3 linked regions of the Ovis aries genome follow. The protein of the gene in region 2 interacts with the protein of the main gene of each other region in a pairwise test. Links are inferred from orthologs where the notes say so. Each region holds a gene or a part of one and is shown on either strand. Other genes may lie near its edges.

What was found.
Region 1: the proteins of HOMEZ (region 2) and SNRPB2 interact in binary tests that used the Homo sapiens proteins (3 or more experiments, as listed by UniProt). The two-hybrid records come from large-scale screens. The link is inferred for Ovis aries from reciprocal best matches to the Homo sapiens genes HOMEZ and SNRPB2.
Region 3: the proteins of HOMEZ (region 2) and MAD2L1BP interact in binary tests that used the Homo sapiens proteins (3 or more experiments, as listed by UniProt). The two-hybrid records come from large-scale screens. The link is inferred for Ovis aries from reciprocal best matches to the Homo sapiens genes HOMEZ and MAD2L1BP.

Annotation. Positions count from the first base shown.
Region 1 is NC_056066.1:10,387,607-10,391,285, reverse strand, and holds the start of SNRPB2 (U2 small nuclear ribonucleoprotein B''), read right to left. Parts: upstream 2,913-3,679; 5' UTR 475-2,912; intron 1-474. UniProt on the Homo sapiens protein: Involved in pre-mRNA splicing as component of the spliceosome. Associated with sn-RNP U2, where it contributes to the binding of stem loop IV of U2 snRNA.
Region 2 is NC_056060.1:21,434,969-21,437,921, reverse strand, and holds the end of HOMEZ (homeobox and leucine zipper protein Homez), read right to left. Parts: coding exon 1,654-2,953; 3' UTR 545-1,653; downstream 1-544. UniProt on the Homo sapiens protein: May function as a transcriptional regulator.
Region 3 is NC_056073.1:17,151,374-17,155,125, reverse strand, and holds the start of MAD2L1BP (MAD2L1-binding protein), read right to left. Parts: upstream 2,879-3,752; 5' UTR 2,868-2,878; coding exon 2,798-2,867; intron 2,190-2,797; coding exon 1,921-2,189; intron 1-1,920. UniProt on the Homo sapiens protein: May function to silence the spindle checkpoint and allow mitosis to proceed through anaphase by binding MAD2L1 after it has become dissociated from the MAD2L1-CDC20 complex.

The sequences.
Region 1 (3,679 bases), on a different chromosome or scaffold from region 2:
TTTTTATCCATTTGCCTAATGAAACTTTTCCTTTTAAACAATATTTAAAAAGTGAATAGATTCGGTGAAAAATGAAAAAAACAAGCTAACTAATGCACGTTCAGTAAAAATCATAAGATACAGAACATTAATGAAATTGGCTAAGAATCCTTGCATGGGTACTCTCATAAAGCACTTCCATATTATTGCTTAATTTACACACACCATCACCAACAGTCCTGATTCCAAAGTCAAATGGAACCGACTTGAAACGCTGGTATAGTACAGCATGATGGTTAAAAACTTAGGATCTAGTGCCAGTGGATTTGAATTCAAATCTTTCTATGCTTCTTACTAGCTGCTTGACTGATGGCAAGTTCCTTAATTTCACAGGTTCATATCTGTAAAATGGGGATGGTGATTTGCCCAATAGAGCTCAGAAGACTAAATGAGATAAAATTCTTTGCAGCTTTAGAATGAGCAGTAAGCACTTACAACAGCTGTCACTGCTGTTTATCACAGAATAAAGCACAGATTCCCAGGTGGCTCAGTGGTAAAGCATCGGCCTGTCAACGCAGGAGACGCGGGCCCGAACCATGGGTCACGCAGATCCCCTGAAGGAAATGGCAACCCACTCCAGTATTCTTGCCTGGGAAATCCCATGGATAGAGGAGCCTGGCGGAATACAGTCCATGGGTCGCAAAGAGTGGAACATGATTTGGCGACGAAACAAAAAGTTAATGCAAGTTCTTTCCCACGGTTACATAGGTGATACGCAGGAGGCCTGAAAATTCAACCCTCGTTTTCTGTCTCTTGCACTTTTATTTCACACCCACCACACTATTTCATTTTTCCCACTCTTTAGTCACGAACTGGGACCTTGCTTTATTCCCTGATAACCCACATATACCTTCATTTCACAAACATTTACACTCATAGTACTTGCATAGCGTAGGATGTCTGACAAGCAAAACGCCTACAGATGAGGACTGTTCTGTAGGTTAACAGGTGAAAGGTAACGCAATCCCAAAGAAAGGCAATGCCAAAGAATGCTCCAACTACCGCACAATTGCACTGATCTCACATGCTAGTAAAATAACGCTCAAAATTCTCCAAGCCAGGCTTCAGCAATACGTGAACCATGAACTCCCTGATGTTCAAGCTGGTTTTAGAAAAGGCAGAGGAACCAGAGATCAAATTGCCAACATCCACTGGATCATGGAAAAAGCAAGAGAGTTTCAGAAAAACATCAATTTCTGCTTTATTGACTATGCCAAAGCCTTTGACTGTGTGGATCACAATCAACTGTGGAAAATTCTGAAAGAGATGGGAATACCAGACCACCTGACCTGCCTGTTGAGAAATCTGTATGCAGGTCAGGAAGCAACGGTTAGAACTGGACATGGAACAACAGACTGGTTCCAAATAGGAAAAGGAGTACGTCAAGGCTGTATATTGTCACCCTGCTTATTTAACTTCTATGCAGAGTACATCATGAGAAACGCTGGACTGGAAGAAACACAAGCTGGAATCAAGATTGCCAGGAGAAATATCAATCACCTCAGATATGCAGATGACACCACCCTTATGGCAGAAAGTGAAGAGGAACTAAAAAGCCTCTTGATGAAAGTGAAAGAGGAGAGTGAAAAAGTTGGCCTAAAGCTCAACATTCAGAAAATGAAGATCATGGCATCCAGTCCCATCACTTCATGGCAAATAGATGGGGAAACAGTGGCAACAGTGTCAGACTTTATTTTTGGGGGCTCCAAAATCACTGCAGATGGTGACTGCAGCCATGAAATTACAAGACACTTACTCCTTGGAAGAAAAGTTATGACCCACCTAGACAGCATATTCAAAAGCAGAGACATTACTTTGCCAACTAAGGTCCGTCTAGTCAAGGCTATGGTTTTTCCAGTGGTCATGTATGGATGTGAGAGTTGGACTGTGAAGAAGGCTGAGAGCCGAAGAATTGATGCTTTTGAACTGTGGTGTTGGAGAAGACACTTGAGAGTCCCTTGGACTGCAAGGAGATCCAACCAGTCCATTCTGAAGGAGATCAGCCCTGGGATTTCTTTGGAAGGAATGGTGCTAAAGCTGAAACTCCAGTACTTTGGCCACCTCATGAGACGAGTTGACTCACTGGAAAAGACTCTGATGCTGGGAGGGATAGGGGGCAGGAGGAGAAGGGGACGACCGAGAATGAGATGGCTGGATGGCATCAAGGACTCGATGGACGTGAGTCTGAGTGAACTCTGGGAGATGGTGATGAACAGGGAGGCCTGGCGTGCTGCGATTCATGGAGTCGCAAAGAGTCGGACACGACTGAGCGACTGAACTGAACTGAACGCCTCTCAGAGGTTTGAGACCCCTAAACTGAATCTTGGTGGATTGGTGACTCGAAGACGATGAAGAGAAGGAAGTGACAGGGATCAAACTGAGCAGGGGCGCAGGGAGTCGCCTTCCGGATTCAAAAGGGGAGCCTCTGGGAGGTCCCTGAGAACGCACGGCGCGCGGTAATCGCCTCGCATACGCGAAGGTTTTCCGTAACTTCACACGCGCGAGGGTGCCGGCTCTCCAGACGCAGCGACGTCCGCCCACGGGCTCCGCCCGAAGCCCCAGGAAGCGGCCACGCCATGCCCGGCCCCAAAGTGTCCCGCCTAAGACAAGCTCTAAGTCCAGGGGCCTCGCCAGACCCGAGCGTCAGTTTCCAGGCCTTCCTCGGCGACCCACCACGCACCCTCGGCTGCATATATTCCGGCCCCAGCGCAGCGGACCGCTTATTCTCGGCTCCCGCAGGGGAAGGTCTGCCTAAGCCGCAACCCGCAGCCAGAAGAGAGGAGAGAGCGAAGAAAAAAACCCCGCCAACTCACCGAACAGGTCCTCTACGTCCCGTAACAACCACAAGCCAGAACCCGGAAGCGGAACCAGCCACCGGAAATGACGCTACCACGCACCTCAATCGAAAGCCGATCAGTCAAGAAGCCGAGCCCAGAGTGGATCGATGTCCGTCGGTCTAGACCACAGTAAGTAATCGCTCTGAGCATGCGCACACCTGGTGGATGGGGAGAACAGGTGTGAAGGGGAAACGCGGTAAGGGAAATAGGCCTGGGGGAATTCTGTGGGTTTAACTCGAATTCTGGGGGAGCGCAGTAAGAGTATAAGGACAGACGGTGATCAGTTCCGTCACCATGAGTTAGCGCTGTTTAACCTAGAACATCCTGATAAACACATCTGTGGGCTTCCCTAGTGGTTCAGACGGTAAAGAATCAGCCTGCAATGCGGGAAACCTGGGTTCGATCCCTGGGTTGGGAAGATTCCCTGGAGGAGAGGGCATGACAACCCACCCCGGTATTCTTGCCTGTGAAATCCCGTGGACAGAGGAGCATGGTGGCCTGCACTCCATGGGATGGTCCAGTTGGACACGACTAGACAGGACAAACACATCAGTAAGTTGAAAGCACTGTAAGATGCAACTGAGAACACATGTAATAACACCTAACTTACCCAGCATCACACATTTAATCCAGACCTATCACAAAGGTGCTCAGAACACTCACAGTAGCCTTTTTGTTGTTAAGCCACTCAGTCGTGTCCGACTCTTTGCAGCCCCATGGACTGCAGCACACCAGCCTTCCCTGTCCTGCAGCATCTCCTGGAGCTTGCTCAAACTCATGTCCATTGAGTTGGTGATGCCATC
Region 2 (2,953 bases):
TTGGAAACACAGGCTTGAAGCCCTACTAAAGTATACAGATAATGAAACAAAGAGGATGCCCTTTTATTGCTACTGTAACTCTGTTGATGTCGTAAACTCTCAAATGGTGGGATAAGCAAAGAACATTACCACTGAGATCAAACATTTATTCTTCTTTGGGTAGTAAGGGGTAGAAATGAGGAATTAAATGGGTGGACCATAGGCAGGTATACCTTAAGTGAAAATACTGGAAAACTGAAGAGAGCATCCGCTAGAGATAAATTAGGTCTTAGGAATGACGTGGTAGCTGAATAGGATCCTATTACGTTTTCTGAAACTGAGCTTATTTTTAAAGGCATTTCTAGACTCCCCCTCTTCTGAGAGAGAACCTACGCTATAGCAGGTGTGGAAAGCAATCTGCCTATTAATAGGTACTGATCTATTTCAAGTTTTGTTCATTTACTTTACCTCAGTATATCCTGCTGCTTTGAAAATAAAAAGTATACTAAATCAGAAAGTAGATGAATTTGGTTCCATTAATCTTTAAACCAGAGAAATGGCAAAGTGGAGAGAGAAACAATTTTATTTTTGGCCTTTTTATTATTAGTCTAGCAATTTGGGGCTTCCACTCTTTTATTTCTAGATGGTTAACCCACTGATATCTTTATATCTGACCCCAACTGATGAAAACCACTCTAAAACATAAGGACTTCTGTCCTCAAGACAGATATTATAAACAGGGGGTAAAGTCTCTTTTGTGGACACAGACCAACACCAAAAAGATTAAAAAATCAGTTTCTGTCAAACTAGGCAGGTGGGAGTGTCAGGTTTGTAAAACCAAACCTGGAATCTATCTGGACTGTCCTCCCGAACAGCAGACACCATTCCCTCTCCTTTACTCCTCGGTAATCTATAATTCTACTTTTTTAAAAGGACATCTCCCCTAATTCCCTCCAATAAATATCCAGTCTAAATTATTCTCCACCCAATTATTAAACTTTTTCACAAGCTCCGGGGGGAAGATTTACCCTGAGACAAACAGTGAACAGAATGGGGATTTTTGGAAAGGTACAAGGCATAGTGGTCCCAGTATCAGAAATGAAAACATTCTGCTCCCTGTGAGATTCAAAAAGCAGCAGGAAAACACAGAAAATCAAGCTGGTATGAGGAGAGGAAGTATTTGCGATTGACTGGGACATAACTGAGATTCTTAGCTGCATTAATGCATGAACTTGTGTTCAGAGAGAAATGAGGTGCAAGGCAGCCTTATATTTGGGGAAAATGCTGGGACTGGGGTCGTATTAGAAACTTTCCTCCTCCTTTACAGAACTCCATGGCCGTGGGCCAAAGCCTAGCCTCTCTGTAGAATAGTAAGGTGAAAGAACAGGGATATGAAAAGAGCAAGAGCCTTTTCCCAGACCCATAGCAAGCCCCTCAGTGAGATTGGAGGCCTAGATTTCTGCCCGTCTGATCCCCACCTCGTTTTGTACTCCATGGTCATCCTCCCTGGTCTACCCTTACTATATCCCTGTCCCCCACCCTCAAGAACACAAAGTTTTTCAGTTCTTTGCCACAAGGTAAGTTAAAAAGAAAATAATGTGGTTTCTTTGTTTAAACAGTTAACTAAGTTGGTTTGTCTTTTAGTAACAGACCTCCCCTCCCCCAGCCTCCCACTCAGTCCTGGATGATCACATCATCATCATCGTCGTCATCGTCCTCCTCCTCCTCCTCTTCATCTTCTGGCAGTTCCTCCTCTTCCTCTTCCTCCTCTTCATCTAGACAGACCACCACTTCAGCTGGCTCAGGTAATCGAGAGTCAAACCAATCCAGTACCTGCTGGGTGCTAAGCCTTGATGCCTGACTCAGTTGAGGGATATCACTTTCCCGGAGCTGTTGGTGGGTTGCCCAGTACCTCTCCAAGGGTCGTATATCCGGTGGGGGCGGGGGATTTGGCAGAGGTGGTGTCTCAGCCCATTCATTCAAGGAGCGGGTTGAAGGTGGTGGTGTAGGAATTGCTGGATCCTGGAAGCTAGGGGCACCAGGTACTGCATTGTCCCGAAACCATTTTAGTTGCCCATGCTTCAAGGCATAGCGTGTGTCACCAAACCACTGAATAATCTCAGGCCGAGGTAAACCAGTGATCTGCTCTAATTTATGGTAATCCTCACGCCGTGCCCATTGGCACTGTAGAAAAAACGATTTGAGGATAGCCAACTGCTCTTTGGTTTTGCGCTTGGTCTTTCGCTGGCGTTGCATGTCTGGGGAAAGATACTCTGCAGGGCCAACCCTACCTGATGCTGAGTTATGCCTTAGCCCCTGGGGCCAAGCTGGCTCCAGCTGTGGGGGTAGTGCCTGTTCATTGGGTGACAGTGGTTGTGGGGCACAGCCCAGTGGCTGGAGGGACTTAGAGGTGGCAGGAGCTCCATTAGCCAGTCCCTGGAAAGAGGAAGAAGAGGTAGAGGAAGGAGGAGTCACATTAGATGCTGACTCCTTCTTACAACTACTGGCAAGTAATGAGATGGATTCGGGCTTATCCCGAGCATGGGGCTGGTGGACAGCTGTGGCATGGTTCCAGGAGGCAGTACCTAGGCTGTGTGACTGGTCGGGACACCTGCCTGCCTGCTCCTTGGAGAGGCCACTGCATTGATGATCCTGCCAAAATTGCGATTGATGGGGGAATGCTCCACTGCCAGGTACCATCAGGGTCTCCTTTGCTTTCTGGTGATTCAGTGGCTCCTCAGGCTCTACCTTCAATCCTTTCATCTGGGTGGGCTCGCTAAGAGTCAGGGGCACTATTCCAAGACCAACTTGTTCCGGAGGTGGCACAGGAGAAGGAGGCACTTCCTCTGGGGGCCGCCCTGCATGATGAGTAAAAGAGAGAAGGGATTTGAAATGGAGTTGGTCCCGATGGTAGACTACTCGGGCTCGAGTCTCTTCAATTTCTTCAGATGACCAGCTAATGCCACAGCGAAGG
Region 3 (3,752 bases), on a different chromosome or scaffold from region 2:
ACTAAAATACTCATGTGGTGGCATGGCAGGTAGTAAGCTTTTGCTGTGCTGAAAATAATGACAAGACTGAGGACTGGGGACTTTCCTGGTGGTCCAGTAGTTAAGAATCCACATTCCAACACACAGGAGGAGAGCTTGATTTCTGCTTAGGAAACTAAGATTCCCATATGCCACGGGGCAACTAGAGAGCCTGTGCTTGGCAATTATTCAGCCAAAAAAAAAACCACCAAGGATTATTTGGTCTAATAAATTCTGGAATTCATCCTCCAGTTAAACATGGCATTCATGTTGAGACTTGAGAGAAAACAGCAAAGTTCTGTAAAACAATTATCCTTCAACAAATTAAACAAACAAACATGGCAAACTGATGGAAGGTAGGAAGGAAATGAAAGAGTGGGTGGGAGGGAGGAAGAAAGAGGGGAGGGAAGCAGGAAGGGAGGGGAGAGAAAGAGGACTCCCAGTGGCAAAAATAACTAAAAAATAGATGACAGTGGCTAAAGACGACAACAAATTTTTGGAAGAGAGAAAGTAGGAAGCACTCAAGAGAGCTGAATACCAAGTGCTGTCAGAGGGGACTCCCCTGAGAAGCAAAACCACACTGAAGAAGTCCGTAAAAGGCCCAGGAGTTGTTCACTTAAGCACCACAGAACACAAAAGTGAACACATGGGGACTGAGTGAACACCTGTGCAAGGGCCCTAAGTGTGCATGCGTGCTAAGTCACTTCAGTCATGTCCAACTCTTTGTGACCCTACGGACTGTGGCCTGCCAGGCTCCTTTGTCCATGGGATGCTCCAGGCAAGAATACTAGAGTGGGTTGCCATTCACTCCAGGGGATCTTCCCAACTCAGGGTTCAAAGCTGCATCTCTCATGTCTCCTGCATTGGCAGGCAGATTCTTTACCACTAGTGCCACCTGGGAAGCCCAGTACCCTTCGATGGCCTGCAAGTTTCCCCCACCCAAACACAATGCTTTGGAAGTGTTCTTTCTCTTTCCTTCCTTCCTTCTTCTCTCATTGAGTAGTCTATCAGATAGAAGCAGAAATAAACGTGTTCAGTTTACCATGTTTAACTGAAAGATAACTCCAAAATCACCTTTATTAGAGCAAATAATCCTCTTTCCCGTTATCATTACCACTTTGTTCCCACCCAATGTCCTTTAAGTCTATCAGCTAGCTCACAGGGCCAGCCTCGCACACAGAACTTTTAATGACTTATTCTTAAACATTCAGACACCAAATAAAAGCCTCAACTGTGAAAGAGACCAAAACAAATAAATAGGAAAGGAATCTGGAAGAAACAGAGACAGTGCAAGAGACAGAGGGAAACTTCAAAAACACAGTAATTAATACCCACAAGGGAAGTTCATACAGACAGGAAACAGGATATAACTAAAAAGGAACATGTGGGACTTCCCTGGTGGTCCAGTGGGTAAGACTGTGAACTCCCAATGCAGGGGCCTGGGTTCCATCCCTGTTCAGGGATAGAACTAGATCTTGCTTGCAGGTTGCAACTAAGACCCAGCACAGTCAAAATAAATTTAAAAAATAAAAATTTTAAGAAAAAGTTCTTAAGACTGCGACTGCCAAAAAATTAAGTTTAAGAACATAAACTCAAGGAAGAAAATATAACAGAAACAAAGAAATGAGGATTTGGAGAGAAAATACACTAAAATTAGAGGATCCGTTCATAAAGTCCAAATGTAACACACAATAGGAGTTTCAGAAAAAGAAAACAAGAGAAAAAGCAAGGCTTTGAATATCCAGACTAGAGTGGGAAAGGACTGAAGCCATAGGGCTGAACCATCGTTTACAGCTGCTTATGCTGACATGCGTGAAGGTTCCTTTGACCACCCTTTCTACCTGCCACCATCTAATAGCCACAAAGTTCACTCACCAATTTTCTCCCAAAGCTTGTGCCTACCTGGGGAAAAGGTTTTCGGTAGAAGTGCTTAAGCTGTTCGTAGGGCAGAGGTAGTTGCTGGCGTTGGTACATGATATGTTTTAGAAGTTCACAAGTAAAGCGACAGCAGCCTTCCTGGCTCACAGGCCCAGGAAACACCACTGGCACCATGCAGTCTCTGGGACGAAAGGGCTCCAAAGGGTTGGAAGGTTCCTGGGTGGAGGTGGTCTCAAGTAGTTCTATCTGGGGGTCCTGGGTTTCCTCCGACTTCTCACACCACTCCAAATCTACTAGGTGCACAGAGGGACAAGAGAGAAAAACGAAAAACTTAAAAGATCTATGGACATACCACCCTGAAGCCCGATCTCCTCTGTTCTCCAAAGCTAAACAGGGTCCGGCCTGATTAGAACTTGGATGAGAAAAAGTGAAGAGGCCAGAGTCAGTCTTTCCATCCCTTGTGGGGACATCAGCCACCACAGCTGAGGCCACACGCCTACACAGGCGGATTCCCTCCGCAAACTCCCCTCTGGGAGGCCGCTCGCAGGTTCCAGATCCCAGTTGTCTAAGAGACTGCAGGATTTGGGGGGGCCAGGTGGCGGGAATTTCTGAGACAGAGACTGGAGATCTGCTCAGAAAGCAGAGGCCCTGATATGGGAAAATGAGTTGAGAAAAAGCGGTGTCAAGCAGAGCCCAGAACACGCCGCGAAAAGGAGAGTGAACCAATGGAATTCAGGGCCGCGGGGGCGATGGAGTCAAAGGGGCCAAGTCAGAGCTGGGAGGGACGACGGGAAATGGGGACAAGGAACACGGGCTAGTGAAACGACTACGGGCTAAATGACTGGAGGGAGCCGTGGCAGGGAGGAAACAAACTCCTCGAGCTCCGGACTCCATATCTTACCAGGGACTGCGGCCGGGGACTGCACTTCCGGCTCCGGGGCCGCCATCACTACCTCCTCCCCGTTCTCCATTCGGTTTGAATAGGCGCCCCGCGCTGCTTCATGGGAAGCCCGCGCCTCCACTTCCTGTTCTGCTGGCCCGGAAGTGGGAGGGGCGCCGTGTCTGTGCGGCAGAGGCTTCGCTGGGTGAGGAATGGAGTGCACTGTTAAGGAGCGCAGCCCTCCTTAATACCCTTCGGCGAGTCCGTCGAGCCCTCCTCCCACAGAGAAACCGCGGGTTCTCAACTACTTGGCGCTGCCTTCCGAGGACACCCACTCGCTCGCATCCATTCTTTCCTGCGTCCTCTATTCGCTACGCACCTACTTCGTGTCAGGCCCTGTCCTAGGTGCTGGAGTCTGCGGCGAAGAAGCCAGCGACTGGAGGGGTCCTCAAGGGGTTCAGTGCCTGTAGATTCAAGGCAGTGTGATGAATTATACAGTAAGGTGTGGAAGGGCAGTGGACGCGGAGAACAGGAGCGCATAACCTAGAGGAAGTGGGAGTGAGGCGTGGTCCAAGAGGAAATTGATCTTTAAGATGAGTAAAGGTAAAGAGGAGGGTCTGGTGGTCCTGGAGACTGTTAAAAACAAACAAGGCCCAAATGCATTCACTTCTGCTAAATCCCACCAAGACTCATTTCCTAATCTAGTAGGAGTTTCAGCTTCTCCTGGAGTGGAATTTTAAACTAACCAGTCTGGCATTTCAGCTCTAGTGAGGTAATCTGCAAGATAAGTCCCCCAACATTCCCCCTAAATGGAATTCCCCTTTCTTTTGCTAATAACCTCATTATCCTGCCTCCATTTCTATAAAAGTCTTGCATCTTGTACAGCACCTCAGAGTGCCTTTGTATTTACTCGATGAGATACTTCCTGATTCATGAATTGTTAAATAAAGCCAATTAGATCTTCAAATCTTCAGTT